Arabidopsis thaliana: one gene and its partners. The protein of the gene in region 2 interacts with the protein of the main gene of each other region in a pairwise test. Each region holds a gene or a part of one and is shown on either strand. Other genes may lie near its edges.

What was found.
Region 1: the proteins of bHLH121 (region 2) and ATCTH interact in a two-hybrid assay, tested with the Arabidopsis thaliana proteins (one large-scale study listed by BioGRID).
Region 3: the proteins of bHLH121 (region 2) and WOX13 interact in a two-hybrid assay, tested with the Arabidopsis thaliana proteins (one large-scale study listed by BioGRID).
Region 4: the proteins of bHLH121 (region 2) and AT1G33470 interact in a two-hybrid assay, tested with the Arabidopsis thaliana proteins (one large-scale study listed by BioGRID).

What each region holds. Positions count from the first base shown.
Region 1 is NC_003071.7:11,039,403-11,044,626, forward strand, and holds ATCTH (Zinc finger C-x8-C-x5-C-x3-H type family protein), read left to right. Parts: upstream 1-1,928; 5' UTR 1,929-2,071; intron 2,072-2,163; 5' UTR 2,164-2,414; coding exon 2,415-3,362; 3' UTR 3,363-3,854; downstream 3,855-5,224.
Region 2 is NC_003074.8:6,901,098-6,907,241, forward strand, and holds bHLH121 (basic helix-loop-helix (bHLH) DNA-binding superfamily protein), read left to right. Parts: upstream 1-2,659; 5' UTR 2,660-2,744; coding exon 2,745-2,892; exon of another isoform or gene 2,893-3,388; coding exon of another isoform or gene 3,389-3,470; coding exon 3,471-3,578; intron 3,579-3,659; coding exon 3,660-3,787; intron 3,788-4,047; coding exon 4,048-4,509; intron 4,510-4,598; coding exon 4,599-4,766; 3' UTR 4,767-5,110; downstream 5,111-6,144. Other genes in the region: AT3G19850 (Phototropic-responsive NPH3 family protein), read right to left, coding at 1-60.
Region 3 is NC_003075.7:16,874,426-16,880,010, reverse strand, and holds WOX13 (WUSCHEL related homeobox 13), read left to right. Parts: upstream 1-2,559; 5' UTR 2,560-2,843; coding exon 2,844-3,066; intron 3,067-3,490; coding exon 3,491-3,988; intron 3,989-4,111; coding exon 4,112-4,197; 3' UTR 4,198-4,488; downstream 4,489-5,585. Other genes in the region: AT4G35540 (POLLEN-EXPRESSED TRANSCRIPTION FACTOR 2), read right to left, coding at 4,489-5,585.
Region 4 is NC_003070.9:12,142,256-12,148,633, forward strand, and holds AT1G33470 (RNA-binding (RRM/RBD/RNP motifs) family protein), read left to right. Parts: upstream 1-2,184; 5' UTR 2,185-2,376; coding exon 2,377-2,532; intron 2,533-2,618; coding exon 2,619-2,751; intron 2,752-3,097; coding exon 3,098-3,224; intron 3,225-3,318; coding exon 3,319-3,355; intron 3,356-3,428; coding exon 3,429-3,687; intron 3,688-3,759; coding exon 3,760-3,785; 3' UTR 3,786-4,953; downstream 4,954-6,378. Other genes in the region: AT1G33475 (SNARE-like superfamily protein), read right to left, coding at 5,168-5,935.

The DNA of each region.
Region 1 (5,224 bases), on a different chromosome or scaffold from region 2:
GATATTTTAAATAATTTGAATGTTTACTAATATAGAATGTGTATTCAATTATAACTATTTAAATTATTTTATTGTTGGTTTAGACGCATTCTTAAACTTTCACATCATTCTCTCGTGACTATTATAATAGTTATCGTGCTCGATCAATCATCTCGTGACTATTATAATTTTATCAATAGTTTATGCATAAGAGAACTGATAACGATCATACTTCTTTTTGTCATTATGATAGCTTATGATTAATCATTGTTTATCCATACTTGACGCTTGTAAGTGAAACATATGTTTAAATTTTCAGGCTTAATTTAATAGCCACGAACCAAAAATTATCTTATAATAAAAGTTTGGTGCGATTTAAGAAGATTTGTCCCCAAAGCCCTATCTGAAAGAGGTCAAATTGGATTATTAAATTCAACATATTAATCAATTTGATATTTGTTTAATGGTCTGATTAGTGACAATTATAAGTCTAATATTGCGAATCTTTTGCAGTGAGTATTCCACGTGATATAGATAAGTTTCCCTTAATGGATAACCTTTGCATCAAACAATTAGAAAACAAATGGAAGAGTATCAATCAAGTAGATCTCGAAGCAGTGGACCCTAACACGATACTGGAACATGGACCAAACCTTAAAATATCGTCCAAATTGCTTATTTTCTGGAAGGTTACAAGTGCACAACACTCTAATAATATATGCCCCGCATAACAATTTTTAAAACTATTTCATCTTAGACCTCGGATATTTTGAAGGAAGCACATTTTCTTGAAAATCACTAGGTGACTTGTGTTTCTTTCTTTGGAGCATGTCAATTTACTCCCATCAGCTGGAGAGCCAAAAGTTAAAATTAATGTTCGAAATTTATTTCATAAAAGCTACGTACGTTGCATCCTTCCATGATCTAGAAAAAATGGGGGACAATAACCAAATTTATTCACTCTTGTCAGGTCATGGGGAGTAGTCTACGACCTTGAAAGTCACGTGACAAGTAATATATACTGTACCGTCCAAATATTTTCTTACTGTAATGTCTTATGTTTCATATCGCTAGACCCTTAATATTAGTGTGGACTAATTCATATAATTGCAAATAAAATAGTATGATTCTACGATTCTTCAAAATGATCTAATAGTTACAGTCTGGTCAAAATGATCTAAATCTTTATAAACAAATAACAGCTACGGAATAATTAACACAATTTTTGGTGATAAACTTTGAGTTATGATAGAAATTTTTTTTTTTTCAATTTTTAATGTGTATCTTAATTTCTTCAATTAATGTATCCCTATGTTTTATGTGACTATATAACTTTTGGTTAGTGATACTCCAAAAATGTTGTTTTAGGTTTTGACACACATATTAATAATTTGTTTTATTTTTTACTTTACAAAATTTCTTATTGGTTAAAACATAAATCACTGCAAATAAAACTTTAATTTTGTTTGTAGTCAAAATTAGCTTTTAAAAATGTAAATTGATATTTATTCTAATTATTTTTTTAATGTTCTGACAATTAATTTAAAACGGAAAGCGTAATAAAGTAGATGTTGGGGCTGATTGGTAACGGCTGTTACTTTTGAACTCTAAATATTTCGGATGTTACGACTTTGACTGTAAAAATTTTGGTTGTAAAAATTTTGACGATAGAAACTTTAACTGTTAAAGTCTGATTGGTACAAAAAAATCACAATTATTTTTATTATTATTTAATATTTTTTATAAATATTATTTATGCTAAAAAATCAATTTATTTGGTAAAATAGTAACTAAAATAAATTTATTTTAAAAAAATACAAAATTCATTTTACAAATTCACTATTTTAAATATTTAAATTGGATCTGAAAAGAACAGAAAAAATAAAATTCGAATTAATCAATCGATTTTTTAATGATAAAATATAAATAAATTTGAAAAGAGTTTTGAAATTTTATGGATAAAGAAAAAATATTTTTATTTTGTTTTATTATTCTCTTTTAAAGTTAAAGACTTTAGGAAAAAAACAAAAGAAAAAAAGTAAATGGAGAGAAAAAAGCTTTTAAAACTTTAAAAATTAATAAAGTTTTAAAAGTGTGATTGATTAAAAAATAAATTTGAAAATTTTTAAATATTTTTAAAGCTTTGAAAACATTTTTTTTTTTTTTGGGGGGACAAATATGAAGAAAAAAAAAAAAAAAAAAAGACGAACATGAAGGGGAAAAAAACAAAAGACGAACAAAAATTGGAGATTTTTTCTTACACGTGTCATCATCTGCAGATTTGCGCTTATTAATTGTTTACCGTACGGTATTGTGGATAGGGTCAAGATTTTCATAACTTTACCGTAGTTAATATTTGACCCAACCATGGTTAAAATAAAGCAGTTTATATCACAGACACACACCTCTCTCTCTTCTAGACTCACTAAACAAAAATGATGATCGGCGAAAATAAAAACCGGCCACATCCAACGATCCATATCCCTCAATGGGATCAAATCAACGATCCAACGGCCACAATCTCTTCACCATTCTCTTCCGTCAACCTTAACAGCGTTAACGACTACCCACACTCTCCGTCACCGTATCTCGACTCCTTCGCTTCTCTCTTCCGTTACCTCCCGTCAAACGAGTTAACAAACGATTCAGACTCATCAAGTGGCGACGAGTCATCACCACTCACCGACTCATTCTCCTCCGACGAGTTTCGCATCTACGAGTTCAAAATCCGGCGATGCGCTCGAGGTCGATCTCATGATTGGACGGAGTGTCCGTTCGCACATCCCGGAGAAAAAGCTCGACGACGTGATCCGAGAAAGTTTCATTACTCCGGCACCGCTTGTCCTGAGTTTCGTAAAGGAAGTTGTAGAAGAGGTGATTCGTGTGAGTTCTCTCATGGAGTTTTCGAGTGTTGGCTCCATCCTTCTCGTTACCGTACTCAGCCGTGTAAAGACGGAACTAGCTGCCGGAGAAGAATCTGTTTCTTCGCTCATACGACGGAGCAGTTACGTGTATTACCTTGTTCGTTAGATCCAGATCTTGGATTCTTCTCAGGATTAGCTACTTCTCCGACTTCGATTCTTGTTTCTCCTTCGTTTTCACCACCGTCGGAATCTCCGCCGCTTTCTCCGAGTACCGGTGAACTTATTGCGTCGATGAGGAAAATGCAATTGAACGGAGGTGGTTGTTCGTGGAGTTCTCCGATGAGATCTGCAGTTAGGTTACCTTTTTCGTCGTCTCTGCGTCCGATTCAGGCGGCAACGTGGCCGAGGATAAGAGAGTTTGAGATCGAAGAAGCTCCGGCGATGGAATTTGTGGAATCTGGGAAAGAGCTGAGAGCGGAGATGTATGCAAGACTCAGTAGAGAGAACTCACTCGGTTGAGTCGACTTGGATCGAGTCTTTGATGACGTGGCGACTCGATCTGATTTTGTGAATATTTTAGAGATTTTTAAGGTGTTGTGGATAAATGACGTGGCGGGTCGATCTTAGTGACGGTACAATCGGACGATGAAGAAAAAAGCGTTAAGAGTAACAAAAAAAGGAAGAATTTGTAAAGAGATGATAATGAGAGAATTTGAGAGCTATTCTTCTGGCTTTTTTCTCTGCAGTTTTTTTTATTGTTTTCGTTATTTTCTTGTTTTTATTTTGGTTTTCGGCTTTATTTTGTTTGTTGTTTATTAATGTTATATCATTTTGTAATTAGTTCTCAAATGTATTTGGATAACATCTTAGTTTGAGACTTTAGAAAAGAACATTTCATTTGTTGTTTCCTTCTTATCGATTTCGTTGTTATAATAGTAAGAGGATATAAATATTTTTTGTTGGCCTGTTCTTTTTCCAAACGCTGCGATCATATCCAGCGACCAAAAAAACAGTTGCTTAACACACAATTACGTTGAAGTCTGTAGAAAGTTATGTGAAGAGGAGTCGCTCGATTTTAAAAACAGCGACCTATAAGGCATATACACGTGTCGCCAAAAAATAACAGCAACTTAACATTTTCACTAAGGACGCCGCCGGCGTCCATATTGAACGACTGTTTTTGTATCTCCGTTATAATTTTTGCTTTTCGTCGGAGTCCCTATTGCTGTCACAGCGATTAATAAACGAACAAGCCCAACAATTAATCAGAGAAAATAGTCTCGAGAAAATAACTCTCTTGCATCATATCTCTAATGAACATCAAATCTGCCTACAAATTCTATTTTTAAGTAAACATATTCCTTTTGACAAAAAAAAAAAACTATTTGGCTATTTCCAATGGTAGACTAGATCCACTCTGAAAATAGACTAATGACTAATGAATACTCATAATTTGGATAAAATTTTCATTTTCAGAATGATTTTCAAATTTAAATATGTTTTCAGTAATACACGAACAAATCTATATGTTTTAGGTATACATTGGGCATTTAATCAATACTAATATGGTTATCCAGTTAATTGAAATTTAAAAATACAACAATAATGTATTAAATTAAAAAATACAGTGACATAACAAACGATAATTTTATACATAATAAGTTATGAAATTTAACATAAAAACTCAAACAAACATAACAGAACATAGACTAGTAAACAGTTTTGTTTAAAAACTAATAACAAAAAAGAAATAGAATATGGTACACAAAAGAGAGTAATGGTAATCAATCCTATTTGCTTCGTGCAAATAGAGAGCATGAGACTCTTATTACTTACTTAGTTTGAGGAGAAAAGCTATGTTTTTTGTATTTTAATTATTAATTTTGAATAATGTATTGGTAGAACTTCTCTTATGAAATGAGATGTTTTTCTATTTTAATTTTCCTATTTATTGATTATGCTTTTTATATAATAGCTAATTTTTTAAAAAACATATTATTTAATTTGAATCGTTTTTGAGTAATGATATGAATGTAAAATCAAAATTTCACGTAACTTTCAAATTTAATACTAAAAATAGTTAGCATCAATAATTAAAAATGATACCAAAGGATTTATAACCTCACTAACAAAAATGATGTTTATCTTAAATTATAACATCATTTAAAAGAGTGATGCTAAATTGTTTTAGTTTCACTGAATTTAGCATCGCTTTCTAAAATGACTATATAATTCTACCGTCAGTTTAAAAGTCAAACTAACTTATAAAAAAAAAACTGATGCCAGATTTATTTATTTATTATCTTTTTAAAAAAATTTTAGTGATGATGCATCTCAGTATCTCAATGTTGTTTGTTTCTAACTTTCTATATTTAGTTTAT
Region 2 (6,144 bases):
ATTGACGAAGAAAGTAAATTGGTTATTGAGATTGATTTGAAGATCACAGCAAAGAGACATTGTATCAACTTCTTTTGCATTTGGTGAAGATGAAACTTCTTGTGAGCTTTCTTGTTCTTGTTCTTCCTTTTGGATTGGAGAGAGAGAGAGAGAGCAATAATAGTTATCACATGGAAACGGCTATTTATATATCTCTTTTTCGGCGTCTTTATTTCAATTATCTAATGTACACTTTCTTTTATCATCCTTTATAACTCATATAAATTTATGCAAAAGGAACTTATATACAAACGTCATCGAAAAATTGTATAAACTGGTCGCATGGACCAACTTGTAACCCTAGTGTGTAGACCATCTAAAATAGTGAAAATGTAATAATTTGTTGCCGTTTGTAATGAAAAAATTATTGTTCGTTATTGTTTAGTTTTTTTGGTATTAGATAATAAGATTCATTGCTTAATCGAAATGTACTATATGATATTAATTTTGGAGCAATTAGCTTGACATGCATAGTTTACTTCTTTACATTAGAAAACCTTTTTTCTAACATCGAACTTAAGAAAAGTTATATAAACTGCATTAATTGACTGCATGTTTATTTTGAAATCCATATAATCTTGTGTGCAGAGCACAAATCAATATGACGAGGCGTTGTTAGTTGTTACTAAAAATAACCAGGTGCAAAGATTGATTCCTTAATGCTTCATTGATCAGGATGGCCAAAAAATAAAATAAAAATTGGTGTTAGAGGAAGAAAAAAAAAATACAGTAGGTGGGTAAACAAACAGCAGGGAAATAGCTTACAATTTGTTGAGAATAATTCATAATTATGACCAACATTATTCAGGTTATTTGGGGTAAAGTAAAAATGTATTGCATCAAATCAAATAAGATTTACATTTTAGACAGTGAACTATAGGTCACGACTAATATCAAATATATATTTCCAGTAGCACAGAAAATGATGCTTCATGAACTCTCACTTATGACTTGTCAATAGCTCAAGGACTATGCTACTCAAGTTGTAATATATATATTCTGTATTTATATGCTGTTTTATACACACGTAACGTATATATGAATGTGCCCCCTTTGTTTTTATGTGAATTATAAATATTCTCCCTTTCTTGGCATTACATTATAAATTCGTAATACTATTATTCCACTTCCATGTAATTTCAAGAGTTTTCTTCCCTTTTTATTTGTAGAATATTTATATATCAGTTGCTTGTAAAGTTGGGAGTTTCACTTTCATTGCATGTGAATGGGCCGGGTAGGGTTTTATGACTCTAACGTTTGTGAATAAAGTCGACTACTTGCTTTTCATCATTATCCAAATCCAGCCATGTAAAATATATGTAATTGAAAACGATATATGTAACAAAAATGTTATAAAAAAAAGATACACCAATGTCGATATACATTACGACTCTTTGAGTACAAAATAAAAAAATATGACTAACTTCCGATAATAGTTTTTATTTATTATTAAAAATGAAGTTTCCAAATAAAATATCATTTTAATATCCATACAAATTATGAATAGTATGTGAGGTTTAGGGCAAAGTCTTCTGAGGGTTCATCAATGGGATGGGAGTGGGACGAAGAAACGAAGGCGACGAGAGGATTTAGGTTTTATTGTTTTAAAATTTTTGTGCTCTAGTATTTAAGCCCTTTAACAGGATTTTACAGGGACCAACAAAAATGTAAAGCCCCAAAGGAAGAAGCCCACTTAAAAAATACTAAAGTAAAAATAAATAATTAACAGGCCCATTTGGCCTCATCGACTAAAGCTAGCCCAAAAAGAGGATACAATAAAATTACATAAATTTTGTGTCCTTTTCGATTTAACTTTTTCTTTTAGAAGAACAATCCTTTGTTTTTTTGTGCAAATCTTTAGAATCTCGAGACCAAAACTTAAGTAATCATCAAAAATTTTGTCAAGTTTACATTTCTATGCCAAAAATTATACAATATCATAATGTTCAAGCAGTGCTCTAGAGAGCAAGAAAAAAATGGTTAAGACATAAAAACTAGTCGGCTAACACTGTTCAAGAACCATGATTTATTTGCTTCATCAACGAACTGATTATAATTCAAATATTACAACAGAGCGGCAAATCATTCGAAACGCGGTACGAACATTAAAATTTGATGTGCATTTTGGCCAAAATATTTGTTGATGGATTCAATTGGGTAGTGGAAGAAGAAACTGTCAAAGTACACCTACTTTGCAGTCAAGTTGTAAGAACATAAAGTACGTATTTTTTTACAATTTCTAAATATACTAAAAGCTTGCAGAAAGTATGTATATCTAGAAGTACGTATCTCTTACGTTTGTGAAAACTATTTTTATAATTTGACAATTTTAAATGATTTGATTATTACACAAAAATAGTCGAGGTTATGTAAAAATATTTTTTAAAATTTTCGATATTTTGTCCGGTACAATTATGTCACCATCTCGATTCAAGATATAAAAGAGTTAATTTAGTTTCACAATAAAAATCTCGTACTTACTTTTCAAACTTTATAATTGTGTTGGATAAAAAGTACAATTGAATCTTTTAAAATCAACAATGAGTGTCTGTTTTGATAAATGCATAAATTGGAGTGAAAAGAAAAAAACAATTCCAGCTTTTGCGAAGTTGGACATATTAAATTCTACACAATTGTTTTTTTTTAAAAATACAGAATTGTAGATAGAATGAATATTGTTTTTTTTAATTAAAATAATTGAAAAAATGGGGATAAGAGAAAATGGAATAATGCTTGTGAGCAGAGAGAGAGAGCGAGCGAGGAGGCTAGAGAATCGAGAATCGATCTTCGCCGAACCACCTTGTCTTCTCTTAGCTCATCGAATCTCTCCGTCGCCGTCGATTCTTCCCGCCGGTGAATCTCTGCCTTATTGTTTTCTTCAATTTGATCGTCCTGAATTCATCGTCCTATTTAGGGTTTCGATCACAATCTGGTACTTCTCTTAATCAAAGGAATTTTTATTTTGATTTTGAGGGTTTTATTGGTTTGAACTTAGCTCTCTAGCTCGTGAAAGTGTTGTTAGTTCGTCGTGGAAATCAATTCCTTCCCTGTGTTCTTCTTCAACAACGTTTAGTAATTTTTTCGTAGATGTTTAAATCTCTAACTTGTTGATAGAGATAGATGTTATTATTGCCAAATTAGGTGTACAAAAGAATGTGGAATTTTCTGTTTGAGATTAGCTTCTCTAGTAACCTTCTTTGCAATTCATGATGCCAATTGCTAAGTATGTAACTATGTCTGGTATGTGAGCTGGGATCATATGATACCTGACTATCGACTCAAAGAGAATTATGTTAAGTCAATCAAGGCTTAGTTCTGAGGCTACAGTGTGTGTGGTCGATGTGCTGTTATGGTGGAATTGGATACTAAAATATGTCTAAGAGTGGGACTGCAATATGACCTTCTTAGTTTATTCGATGTTTTGGTTGCAGAAGAGGAGGTCATGGACGTTTCTGCTAGAAAGTCACAAAAAGCTGGGCGCGAAAAGTTGAGGAGGGAAAAACTGAATGAGCATTTTGTTGAACTGGGAAATGTACTCGGTATAGACTCAATGGTTATGTGGATTTTTCTAAACAGCAGATGATCTCACTTTGATCCTCACATAGCTCTTCTGTTTGCAGATCCAGAGAGACCCAAGAATGACAAAGCCACGATTCTGACTGATACTGTTCAGTTGTTGAAAGAGCTCACATCTGAAGTCAACAAACTGAAATCTGAGTACACCGCATTGACAGATGAGTCCCGCGAGGTTCGTACCTTATCCCTTACGCTCCAGGCTTTTCCTAACAGAAAAAATTAGCAGTCTACATGACGTAAAGATATCGATAGGGATCCCAATATAGATAACTCATTGTCTTTTTGCTTTTACGATATGGTGACTACACCTATTTCGTAAGATGCAAACTCAGACGGGCTATATAATGTAACTGCTTATAGGACTTGTTGTTATCATCAATAGCAACACTTACAAATTTACTGGTACTTGTATAACAACGGTTCTTTCTGTAGTTGACACAGGAGAAAAACGACCTGAGAGAAGAAAAGACATCGCTGAAATCAGATATAGAGAATCTCAATCTTCAATACCAGCAGAGATTAAGGTCAATGTCTCCATGGGGAGCTGCGATGGATCACACAGTCATGATGGCTCCACCACCCTCCTTTCCATACCCTATGCCTATTGCTATGCCTCCCGGGTCAATCCCAATGCATCCATCAATGCCATCTTACACATACTTTGGGAACCAGAACCCTAGCATGATCCCAGCTCCATGTCCTACATACATGCCCTACATGCCTCCTAATACAGTCGTTGAGCAACAATCCGTGCACATTCCACAGAACCCCGGTAACCGTTCTCGGGAACCTAGAGCAAAGGTTTCAAGAGAGAGCAGATCTGAGAAAGCAGAGGACTCCAACGAAGTTGCAACACAACTCGAATTAAAAACCCCTGGATCTACTTCTGATAAGGTAGAGAGACTTAAAACTAGAAGCTAGAGATCTCCAATTTTTTTCGGATTTATTATCTTCACAGTTATTCGCGAAATTGTATTTTGAAGGATACATTGCAAAGGCCAGAGAAGACAAAGAGATGTAAGAGAAACAACAACAACAACTCAATAGAAGAAAGCTCTCATTCTAGCAAGTGTTCATCTTCTCCGAGCGTACGAGACCACAGTTCTTCCAGTAGCGTAGCTGGTGGCCAAAAACCTGATGATGCAAAATGATTCGAAAGAATCTGATGTTGATCATCTCAAGTATCCAAGTATCGTTTCGATGAGTACTGTATATAGTGCGAGTACAAAATGCACTTAGCTGTTTAAAGCAGTGTTTTGATGCACCGTGGCATTCGTTTTCCTCGGATAGTCATTTCTCAGATGATTTTCATCCTTAATAGGTCTGCTTTAGTTCTAAAACTCGGATGATTTGTAATTTCCAGTGTCCAAATCTACTAATTTTATTAATCCTATAAATTAAACAAACTTATATCTTGATTTTTTTTTAAAAATCATAGATTATTTATACTATTGTACAAAAAGAATTACATTTAAATCGGTAAATATAGTTTCACCATAAATATATGGTTTCATTAATATCATAAATTAGTAATGATATAGATATATCAACAATATATATTTATATATATATTATATGTAAGAAATTTCTTTGAAATATATTTTTAATATTTAGTTCTCATTTGTACTTATTTGAATTTAGTTCTAATATTTTACTGTATCAAAAAAAATTTGGTGTTATTTTTTAGACATGAGAATTATTTTTTACTTATAATTAGTTATAAAAAAAATATTTTTTATAATGAAAGAAATCTTATAGTAAAAAATTACTATGAAAAATTTCTTTATAAATTAATAAAATTTTAGAATCCCAACATTATTAATTTGTAAAGGTTTTACTGTAGTTAAGTTCAAGTTCAATTTAAGCTGGTGCTAAACGTTAGCTACGTGTTCGTATGATGTCAACTGTCTAGATACAGGAAAATTTCTCCGAATATACAGCGACTACACATCAACCATAGAGAACAGTATGAAGTAAATATACCCTCTATCCATCGCATATGTAGTTTGTGGGAGTGCTCTGTTGGTTTCGCTTTCCTCTGATGTTGTATACCCTGTATTGTCAAATATGACTGCGACACGGTTCCCACTCATCTCATAGACCGCTAGATAATAGTCTGCATGTATATAAAATAATTGTTAAAGACAAAACATAGGGCATACCCAATATCCTTTGTGCATAGTATTTAGTATGTCATGGAAGTTAACTAGGTCTTTGAGAGTTCGAACGCCATGAAGAGCAAAAGAAAGAGAGGAAATACGGAAGAGAAAGACAAAACAAACTAAAAACCAAAAGACATTTGACCTATCGTTTCTGTTTCACAGGACGACCATAAGATGTAAAAGTCTTGCCCATCCATTCCACAACCCATTATCGATTCACAAGGCAACATAAGAAGAAGTTTACATTTCGATGAGCTAGAGCAATTCTCTAGCGCAGATCACAAACAACCAACTCCAACCTCTGGTTATACTATCCAAGATTTTTACAGGATGGTGCCTGAGGCTGCCAGGTTTCGAAGGAATAAAG
Region 3 (5,585 bases), on a different chromosome or scaffold from region 2:
TCCACTTTGAATTGATAACTACAACTCTACAAGCTACAGCCATCCTAACGAAAACTGAAATATCTTATTCTCCTTTTAAAGTGAAACGTTGTTCTCGTTCACCATCAAGAAGGATAATATATACAACAAGATCAAGATAAGTAATACTAGTGAAACGGTTTCTGTAATGACATTAGAAAAACCGAGACACCAAAAAACGTGAAAACTTTAACAGAGATTCGGTTATTAGTGCGAAGTTCGATATTTGATCAAAATCAACACATTTGTAACGTCTAGATGGTGAGTAAACAGCAGCACACAATGACACACAAACAAAAAAAACACTAATCCATTATACAACAATTGATCCTACCGTCAACCTGGTGGGCTGAGATGGGCTGTTAGGAGATAATAAATATAGGCCTGGATAAATCATTTTTTAAGTACTGGTGCAATAAGTAAGTTGTCTTCACTTTGAGTTCAAGTTTTGTTCATACTGAAGCTTTTTTCTTTTTCTTTTCACAATCCTACTATATATATACGTTTTTAAGTAAGATTCACCGTATATATTTATTTTCTTTGGTAGGGAAAGATTCAGCGTATAATAATAATTAGCAGTGGTCAACAGGGTAAAAAACAACAGTAAGTAGATTTGTAAACCGGGATTAAGAATATAGATTTCAATGATAGGAAACAGAGAAGAAAGCATAAAATAAGGATAGAAGACAAGAGAAGCTATAGGTACACCAAACTCTCCAATCTAAAAGAAGAATCCAAAGAAAGCTGGGCCAAAGAGAATCCAATGGGTTATAATATGGCTCATCACTAAGTCAGTCATGTAATTAAGATTATGTATATATATATGGACAAATTTGTATGCAACTATTTTCATCTATATTTAAATTCCTTATCATTTGGTCGATTGATAATGCTTACGTAAATAATGTCTTGTTCTGGATATTTCCGTTTGTGTCTCTATATTGTCCCGGTGGTTGAATGTTCTACTCCTAGACATAAACTAGAAAATAATCATCTAATGTATAATTTTAAAAATAAATGATTATTATACTGGTAAATTTTTTAAATTAATGAGCTTTGTTAGTAAAAAATCTCAACTTAATTAATCAAAAAATCATCTAATGTAAATTATTCTTTTCTGTAATATATATATATATATATATATATATATAATTCAAGTATTAGAATATTTAAATTTTGTGAGTATTAATCTAATTTTCCTATCATCTAATGACAATAAATAAAATGTATCTATATTTGTGTGAATATGGACTTTTTGGTATTTAGATAGACTGCTTCTGCTTGGTCTCGATACTTGACTTAGGGTCGCACATGCAAACCTCATTATTTTCTTCCATAATGTTGACAATTAAAAAAATTACCGAAACGAAAACACTTTCCGGAAAAAACGATGAGGCGTTATATCATTTAAAGAAAAAACGACGATACTAATTAAATAAACAAAAGTTCCGATAATTTTTACGTATAGGTTACGAAGACAATGACTTGAATAGAATTGTGAAGCAAGTATAAATTTCAAGTTTTGGCTGAAAAATTAAAGTAATAATTTGTGTATTAGTGTAAAAAAAAAAGTCACAGAATTAAGTAGAAGAGCTAATTATTTACACGTTCCGACAAAACACTACTACGCCCCCGACTACGATACGGCATGAGTCATGACCACATATTATATTTTTCTTTATCTTCATGTTTTTGTCGACCATGGTCACATTTCATTGTTTGGCCTGGTTATTCGACAGAGATCAATTTTATTGGCAATTAATGAGTCAGATTAGATCATATTAAAATCTAAGTGCGCCCGTGGAACATGGGCGGCGGACACCGACCACCTACAAATTCTACTGTTTAAACGACACGTGGAAACTATTTATTTTCTTTTTGGGTCGCCGCTCCTTAACTTATAAGTCCTGACTGGCCCAACAATTTTTTTTTTCTTTTTGGTTTTTCTTAAAGGTTTCTTATTGAATTAGATGATAGGGATTGCAAAAGACGGTGAAGCTAATACTCTTCTATAGAATAATTGAGAAAAATATAACCTAGAATGTGTCAGAAAAGTTAGATCGCAACCAAAATTTATCAATCAACGGAATGTCAGTTAATCGGTCAGGAAAAGAGGCAATTAAAAGTGTTTATTTATTTTGCCACAAGTGCTCTTTATCGCATTTTTAAAAAGTTGTATACCACCATTTTGACTGTTGACCCAAAAATATAACACAAATTGGACTAAAAAAGCATAAGGAAAAAACTTTTCGGTGTAAACAAAATACATAACTTGAAGAATGGATATTGAAAAGAAAAAAGTAATTCAGTTTCTTGAAAAGTACCAACCAACGACTATAAAAAAAAACTAACAATCTACTTCATTGATACGATCAAACTAGCTGTTAATATTTGTATCAAGTCGATTGCATCCAGACATGTTATTTCCATAAAATAAAATAGCAACGGCTCTCTCCAACTATAAATCAAATAACATTTAGATTATGGTAATGTAAATATTCAGATATGGAAGTAGCCGTTTAACCGTATGTGAAATCTCAAACGGTCAATTTCCAAATTAGGAACTAAAATAACCGTTGGTTAAATAGTTTCCTTTAACGATTGTCAAAGAATCATTACCGTCTTCTTATTTGTCTTTTCCTTTGTAATGAAACTATATATTATAATTTCAATATAGAACAAAAGAATAACATAAATTAAGTTTTTTTTGTCCTTTTCTGCCTTTACCTTTCCTTCTACTCCCGAAAAAGCACTGACTTTGCTCTGTTTCCTTCGTTCACACAGAGAAAGAGAGAAATCTTCTGAGCGAAATTCTGACAAAAGAGATGATGGAATGGGATAATCAGCTACAACCCAATAACCATCACTCTTCTAATCTTCAAGGGATCGACGTTAATGGCGGCTCCGGCGCCGGAGGAGGAATGTACGTGAAGGTGATGACCGATGAGCAGTATGAAACTCTCAGGAAACAGATTGCTATTTACGGCACCATTTGTGAGCGTCTTGTTGAGATGCATAAAACTCTCACTGCTCAACAAGATCTTGCAGGTTTCTATCCTTTCTTCTATCATTTAGTTTCTTCTTCTCTGTTCATCTAAAGATAAAAAAAGGACTCCTTTTGAAATTTTTAAAAAAATTCAGAATTTTTGTGTGGTTTAATTGATTTTTTAGTGATTCTTCTTCACTTTGGTGTATGGGTAATTGAAAATTCTCTGCCTTTTAAGCATTTGTTGGCTTAAATCTGATTCAAAGACCAATCCTTTTCGTGGATTTTTGAGCTAAGAATAAGGAAAATAATGGTTCTTGAGGAATTCTAGAATCACTCCTTTGAATCTTTCAATTGAGCTTCGAGAATTTCCCACCAAAATAGGTGTTTTTAGCTTGATGATGTGTTCTTGAGATATAAAGTTTCAGTTTTTTTATTTAGTTTAACTTTTAACAACTCTGCTCATTTGTCTGTTGTTGGTAACAGGAGGGAGAATGGGAGGACTATATGCAGACCCAATGATGTCATCTTTAGGTCATAAGATGACAGCTAGACAGAGGTGGACTCCTACGCCAGTCCAGCTTCAGATTCTGGAACGTATATTCGATCAAGGCACGGGAACACCGAGCAAGCAGAAGATCAAAGACATAACAGAAGAGCTGAGCCAACACGGCCAGATTGCTGAACAAAATGTCTATAACTGGTTCCAGAACCGACGTGCTCGATCCAAGAGGAAGCAGCATGGTGGAGGTTCTTCTGGAAATAATAATGGTGAGTCTGAGGTAGAGACTGAAGTTGAAGCATTGAATGAGAAGAGAGTAGTGAGGCCAGAGAGTCTTCTTGGTCTTCCAGATGGAAATAGCAACAATAATGGGTTAGGGACAACAACAGCAACAACTACTGCTCCTAGGCCTGAAGATCTTTGCTTTCAGAGCCCTGAGATTAGCTCAGACCTTCACTTGCTAGATGTTCTATCAAACCCAAGTAAGTAACAAAGATACCTTTTTAGTTCACACGTAACTGAAAAAAACAGAGACATTGGCTTTGAAGAAATAGTCAAGTAAGTTGTGTCTGTCTCAGATAATTTCTTGTGATTTGTGTTTGTAGGGGATGAGCATCTTGTTGGAAAGATGGGACTGGCGGAAAGTTACAACCTTTATGATCATGTTGAAGATTATGGCATGTCAGGCTGATTGAATACAAGCTGAGGAAACTTCTAATTATCAGAGAGATCAATGAAATGGATTTGGTAGTCAGTCATAAGCAGTATTAGACTTTTGTTTTTCTTAAATTGTTTCTTTCAGGGCTTATTAAAGAAACAAGTAGTTTATCTTATTAATCATTTTCAGAGAAACATTTACATGGATTGTTGAATCGTCTTGTGATGCTTGCTTTGATAATTTCTGCATTCAGAACGATTTTTACATCCTTAAATGAATTATACTGTAAGAAATAAAAAAATTCCAAGAGAAAAACATTTCAATTCAAACCTCTCCAGAGTTGAAAACATGCAAGTCTAACAAAGTTTTGTAATGGCCTTTCTCTATTTCTTCCTCATTCACATTGTGTAAGACCAGAGTCTGTATAACCAAATCCTCCCAATCAATTTCAGATCCTTTCTTCCTTTTCTTCTTGCTATGTTCAAGCTCCAAAGACAACGCACCTTCACTAACATTGTCAGAAGGATGTTGTATTGCATTAATCCGCAACTTAGCTGCCTTAATCTTTTCTCTTCGTCTTTCAACTGCAACGCAACCCTTTATGTAAGAAGGAGGCAAAGCTTCAAGCCCTACATCTTTCTCCAACAAGTCTTTGAGCAAAAGCCTTTTACTCAATTCCGATTTCCCTTTCCACCAATTTTCAGTTGACACCATTCCAAAAACAGATCTCCTTTGCCACATACTCTGACTACTTCCCTGACTTCTTTTCGCAAGAGTCCCACCACAAACTCGATCCTCAAATTCATTATACTTTGTAGACAACTGATTCTCCGATATATTATCATCATAGTTACATAAACTAAGCTGACGTTCACCTTCTACATCAAAATACCGAGACATAGTATCTTGACGAGCATCATCATCATAACAATACATAGATTCTTTGCTTAGGCAGTCCATCACTAAATCCTCCACACAAAATCCATCAGTTCTAACTAATTCTTTCCCAGTCCCTTGTTTTCTCTTTTTCATGGACTTGGCTTCCATTAAAGCAAACAAAGTTCCTGAATGTTTCAAAACATTCTTCACAGTAACATCTTTCGCCCAAGGCAAACCCACCTCTTCAGCAACCTTCACAAGCTTCTCAGATAACTCTTTATACCGCGTTTTACAAGTAGTCAACGAAACACTAGCATCTTTCGCCAAATCATCAATCTTTACCTTCACACCATTCACTTGAACAACAAACGCCAAAACAGCCACAACCAAAGGCATTGGTCTCCTCCCCGTCGACAAAAACCATTTCAACGCACAATTCATCAGGAAAGTCCCTTGCTTTATTATCTTCTCCTTCTTATCCCTATCAACATCAGTCAATCTCGGTGAATTAGTAACCGTCTTGGTAAACAAACCCACAAGAT
Region 4 (6,378 bases), on a different chromosome or scaffold from region 2:
TAATCTTCCTATCTCTAGTGATCACATGATCTTCTTCTTCATTATCACTTTCTGGTATTTCGTTCCTTCTAATCTTTAACTCATCATACCACATAGCTACTGCTTCCTCTATCTCGAACTCAAACCTCTCGGCCAAATCTTCTTCCGGCTCATCCTTCTTCTGTTTTCTCCTCTTCTTTTGACCTTCTTCAGCCTCTTCCTCCTTTCTTTTCTCTTCTCTCGTCCTCTTCTTTTGACTTTCATCTCTGTCTCCATCGTCTTCTAGATTGATGTCTCCATCAGACGCTATATCACCATCGTCTTCTCTATTCTCCTCTCCATCAGATTCTCTGTCTCCATCTATCCCGACGTCGTCTCCCTCAACTCCGGTGGCTTCGTCCTCCTCGACTCCGCTATCACCACTATCACTTCCATCGTCGGCTTCAATGTCACTCTCTGGAGGTTCGAAATCGGGGTCATCTGGATCGATTTGGTAAATCAATCCTTCCTCCCACCAATTCTTCATTTCTCCCTATTCGAAACCCAAATCGAGACCCAGAAATTCGAATCGAAGAAGAAAACCCCAAATCTCCTTTTGTCTTTCTCTCTCAAGAACCCTAATTTCACAGTGTCGAGATTAAAGAAGAACGACCAAATCGATTTGAGAGTTAAAGAAGAATGAAAACGACATCGTTTTCTTTCTCTTTTTGATGAGTTAAACGAAATGAAAACGACGTCGTTTTCTTAACGGGTCTGGGTATTAGTCGGGTTAATCGCAATCGCGGTACAGTAAACGCAGATTTGTGGTTAATCCCGGTTAAATGAATGGTTCAATTGGAAATGTATGTTTAAGCATGAATTCGAAAGTAGATAATGTAATTTTGAGGAATATGAAAGTTGATGGTGGAAATTTAAGGGCCCAAAAGTCCGGGGTGAAAGCTGAGAATCGAAATAATTTATGGCTCAAAAATCAGTCATACTAACATTGTAATACAAAACATGATTTTGTAAGATTGATCTAGTTTTAGAAAAATCACTTTTGGCTGAAGATAATAGGACCGACTTTTTCTTGTTGTAGTTGTGAGATCTCATAAAGAAGAATTATAGACTTAAGTGTTATATTAACCAATTTTTAATTTAATTCTTCATATACATTATCTATCTTATTAAGTTTGGCTGGAAAAATCTGTAAGTCAGTAAATGTTTACTTCAAAATGTAGAATTCATAATTTTGTATTTAGAATAGTAGAATTTATCTCCAAATTAGTAAACTAGATTTTAGATTGTCATGAAAAGTGATACAAACCAATAATTTTTTTGTAAACTAAGATAGTGGAAAAATCTGTAAGTCAGTAAATTTTTTTGTAAACGAAGACCAATAATTCTTCATAATTTTTTTTAACGAATAGAAAATTAATAAGCGTTATAGTTAAAAACAGGAAGGAATAATGATATTAAAAAAAAAACTATTTGTAAACTAAGATTACCTTTTTCGTAACATTTTGCTCATTTTTTTTTGTAAATGAATGTAAATCGGCATAATTTTAATCACTAAAATTCTGAAATATTTTGCTAACTATCAATCAATTTTAGATTTGATTTGATTTACATATAAATATGTAGGCTAACACATTAAATCATGTTCTAAGAAATATGCATATGCATGAATCATTTGATGTCTTACAAATAAGTTACACAACTTGTGTGCAATCATAATATGGATTCTTATGAAGATAATAAAAAATTAAAAGGTTGGTATATTAATTTTTTTGACCAACTTTTGTGAAAATGTTAAAATGCTAAATATATTCAGTAGTTCAACTTATTTTGAGGGATATGTAAACTAAAAAAAAAAAAAAACTCTTTTGAGCTATAATTTAATATTGGTCAAAAAAAAATGTATTTTTTTATATATAGTATATCTCTGTTAGTTATATTTTTTTTTTTTTGTGTATGTTATTTCTCGGTTAGTTATTTGCTAAGGGAAAGTTTTTTTTGTTGAATATCTTTTTTTGGTAGAATTAAAAATACAGAAAATTTCAATTTTAAGATTTTCCACCAATATAAAAGACCAAAAATTAAATAATAGCTAAAATAAATGTTTTCCAACTGTAAATCTATTTTACAGAGTGGATCCGACCAACAAGAAAAAAGTGTACAAAAACACACAGTGACCGTACATAAAATAAAAAAAATGTCATTGATATTTGTGAAAAGCTAAGTTAAATAATTCAATGAGTGTGTCCCCAAATTCTCTCTTTTTTCCCTGAGACTTTTCCTTGAATCCTCTTCCCTCCTCCTTCTTCTCTCTCTCTCGTTTCTCAACTACCGTCTCTCTGCTTCTTCTGTTCCCAAAACCGGAAACTTTACTTCGTGGAATTTTCCCTTGTTTCTGAAATGGAAGACACAACATTTACCAAAGTGTTCGTTGGAGGATTAGCTTGGGAAACACACAAAGTCTCTCTCAGGAATTACTTTGAACAGTTTGGTGACATTGTTGAAGCTGTCGTTATCACTGATAAATCTAGTGGTAGATCTAAAGGCTATGGCTTTGTAAGTTTCTTCTTCTTCTTGTTTCTTTTTACTTTGGAGATTTGTTATAGCTTCAAGCTCACGGGTTCTGTTTTTTTTTTGTAAAGGTTACTTTTTGTGATCCGGAAGCAGCTCAGAAAGCTTGTGTAGATCCAGCTCCTGTTATTGATGGAAGAAGAGCTAATTGTAATCTTGCTGCTTTTGGTGTTCAGAGATCCAAACCTTCTTCTCCTATTCATGGTACTTTTAGGTTTCTGTCTTTTGATACTTTACTTTTGAAAACCCTACATCAAGAGTATATGTAAATCCATGGATCTTGCTGGAATTGTATGTCTTGAATCACATGTCTCACATATTAGTAGCAAAGTTAGATACTTTATGAATTGTCTTACTTTATTGTTTGAGGTATAGCTTCATCTTGATTCCTTAGTTGATTCAGTAAAGCCATTTTCTTGCTCACTAGTCTTTATAATTCTTCTGCAGACTACACTAGTTAGTTAAATCTTCTGGTTAAATATGTTGTGTTTTGTTCTTGTCTGAAAGCAAATGTTTGAGAGGAGATTCTCATGTTGTTGTGTTATGGCAGGACATGTAGGAGGAAGAGGCATGAAGGTGACTAGCCCTTTCAAGACACACTTTGGGACCGCGGCTACTGCTATTCCTTCCCCACTTCCATTCTCCCACTACACACTTCCTTACACTAATCCTTTTGGGTACTCCACGTTTAATCTCTTACTTGATTTTTCTATACTCATCACTCTACTTAGACTGATAAATCCTCTGTTTGGTTTCATTAAACTTTCTTAGGTTCTCTTCATACTCAATGGATTACAATTACCCCACGGTATGTATATTGTAAGAGTCTCTCCCTACTCTACTCTTATCTCTTATAGCTTATTGGATTATTGTTTTTACAGCAGAGCTATTACAATGTTTATGGAGGGGCAACTGCTCAGCATCCAATGTATGGAAGCGGACCAATGACTGGTGTAGCAGCAGCACCAGCAGCAGGGTTCTACCCATATCTCCAGTTTGCTGAAGGAAATGGACCTGTCACTGGTTATGCTCCCCTCCACTACCCCAACCACATGTTTCACTATTCTGCTCCCGGGGGAAACTACCCGCATCACAATGGTTCACCAGTGTCTCTTGCACCTTCACCAGTCATACCATCAGGTTAGTTTCTTTATATTTTTTCGTTGTTCATACACAACATGGAAAACTAGAGGTACTGATGTTCTCCAGCAGTTTGCTTTGCAGTTCCACAGGCTTGACCATGAAGGCTCGTGGTTCATAGTTCCATGATGCTATGTAGGGGACCAATTCATTTAAATCCTTAAGGCAAAGCTTTGTTTACTACTTTCATCCACATGCCTCTGAAGTTTCACAAGACCTGTGGCCTAACCATGGTTGCCCTTTTCCCTTTATGCTTCTAACCCATTAGACAAAGAAGCCCATAATTTGGAGTTTGGGCGTCTTTGCAAGTTCTAGTTAAGTCTCACATAGGGGTTTAACTAGGACCATCTTCATACACATTACTCATCTTTTCATTTTATTCATTGCATTACCTGCTTTCTGAACGAAGGTTTCGTTCAAGATAGCTTGTTCGAGCTGTAGAAGTAAACAGTTACCGTCTTTTGCACAGTGCCTCGCAAAGGCAAGCAATTTTGTAGAAAAACTTAAAAACTTAGGATTGGCTGATCAACAAGAAAGGAAATAAGGATTTCCCGGGAAAGGCACAAGAAGTGAATTGCCACCACCTGGAAGTGTTGAAGTAGTGTGTGCAAAGGTGTGCACACTACTTCACGCTATATCCATTTTAATGTGCAGTCTTAGGATTATTAGATCTAGGACCATGTTGTTACACATTGTCTTGTAGTAGAACGCTAGAACATAAACTTCCTTTGAGGATAAAGGAATTGCTAACACATGTATATTCTCGGTGGCTAAGCTTTGGAGTTATAGCCACACTTGAGCTAACTTAGATTAAGATCATTTTTAAGATTCAAAATTTAGATTGCTCATCATATCTTGAACCAACCCCACTAATGGATTGTGGGGTTCTTGCATTTGCATGTATTTTTGCCTCTTGGGAGATATTTTGGTTCCCTTTAGGTTCTTCTCATAACAATCAACCAAACCAGTTGACCAACCATGGTTAGGAATTTCAGGTGAGAGGTATTCATCACCTCTTTATCTCTCTTTTGTACTTCTTTCCTCTATTTCTTCAAGACTAAAAACTCTCTTTTTATGTAATTTGTTGTTATATCTTGTAAGCTGTGTGTTTCTGATTCTATGTAAGAAAACTAAAAGCTTTCAGTTTCCATCCTCGGTGGTTGGAAAATGAAACTGTGATTGCAATATTTTACTTTGATCTGATATATAATCCTCTTGTATGAGGTTATGACAATGTCTCCTACTATATGAATCCCTACTTTCATTATCTTGATGCCAAGAGGCCTTACTACAATCATTCAGCAACAGACTGGTTTTTATGTACAACTATAAGAACAAAATCATCATATTATACACAAACCAACGTAGGAACTTGAGACCTATACCTAATATACAATCAACAATGCTGCAGAATATTTCAAACTGCAATCTCTACAACATAACTGCAGAAGAGGAAAATGCATATGGAAGAATAAATAGATCAAGAACGTGTACACTCAATGCCATGACAAATAGCCAACCAAACACCAAGCAGCGTTAAGCAAATAGCTATATCAATGGCAAGAACAATCTTCACTTGACGCCGCCACTTCCTCTCAATGCTCTGAGAGCCACCAGATCGTCCCCTTCTTGGAACATACGTTGCTGATTCAGATGAAGCATTAGAACATTCTGTTACGTTTCCTCTATCATTTGATTTTCGGTGTTCCTCTATCTCAATACCTCTTAGTGAGTGCGCATGATCTCTCCCTTTCTTCTTATCTTGCTTGTTGGATCTTCCTAAAAGAGGAGCTTTGGAGTTAGATGCGTAGCTTTGTTCAGCACCATCAATGGAAGGTGATGATAATGGAAGACAAGTGTGATCAAACTCTAATGAAGCTATGAGTCTTCGGACAATTTGGTCTTGAACATTGCTAAAACTGATACTACCAGAGAAACTTCCTCTAGAATTCTTCTTATTAGCTTCTTTTAACTCATCTCTCAGTTTTTCAAGAAAATCAAGAACGCTAGATTTCTTGAAAACATCATCAACAATGGCGAAATAAACGAAGTCATCTTTCATCAAGAATCCAAAAGTCTTCTTACCCCTCGTTTCGAAGTACCACTTGTGAAAAGGTGGAGTCTTTTCCAAGCATAACGCTGCAAGACTCTCGTTGTTGCGGTGGTCTCCGGCATTGTTGTAAGCGTACATAATCTGATTGTCTCTTGAGACACAACAGTAGTGAACTGTGTTTTGGATTGAACCCATGTTGGAACTTTAGATAAGGGGCAGCGATGAGCAAGAGAGTTTCAAAGAATATGTAAGTTATGAAGTCAAGTCTCTGGTTTAAGATCCTTATCTTTGCCAAGAAACAACGAAAGGAATCTTGAAAAGGACTAAACAGAAGATCGAATGTTAGAGAAAGAAAAGGTATTAAAGCAGAGAGAGAACAATACAAGCTTCTCTTACCCAACCTTTGACTCTGCTTTATCTTTTTCTCTTTTCTAATACCTTATCTTCTTGTTTTTGACTTTTTTCAGACTAAGAAATCGCTAATTCAGGTAAGCTAAGATCAACCCTTTTTGAACCAGTTTTGAATATTTGATTATCTGCTGATTTTGTAGCAGACCATACTCTTTGTTTTTGCGCGCGAGCAAACGCAAATGATAATGGGACAAGTTTCCCTGAGAAGAAGTATTTGCCTTCCAAAA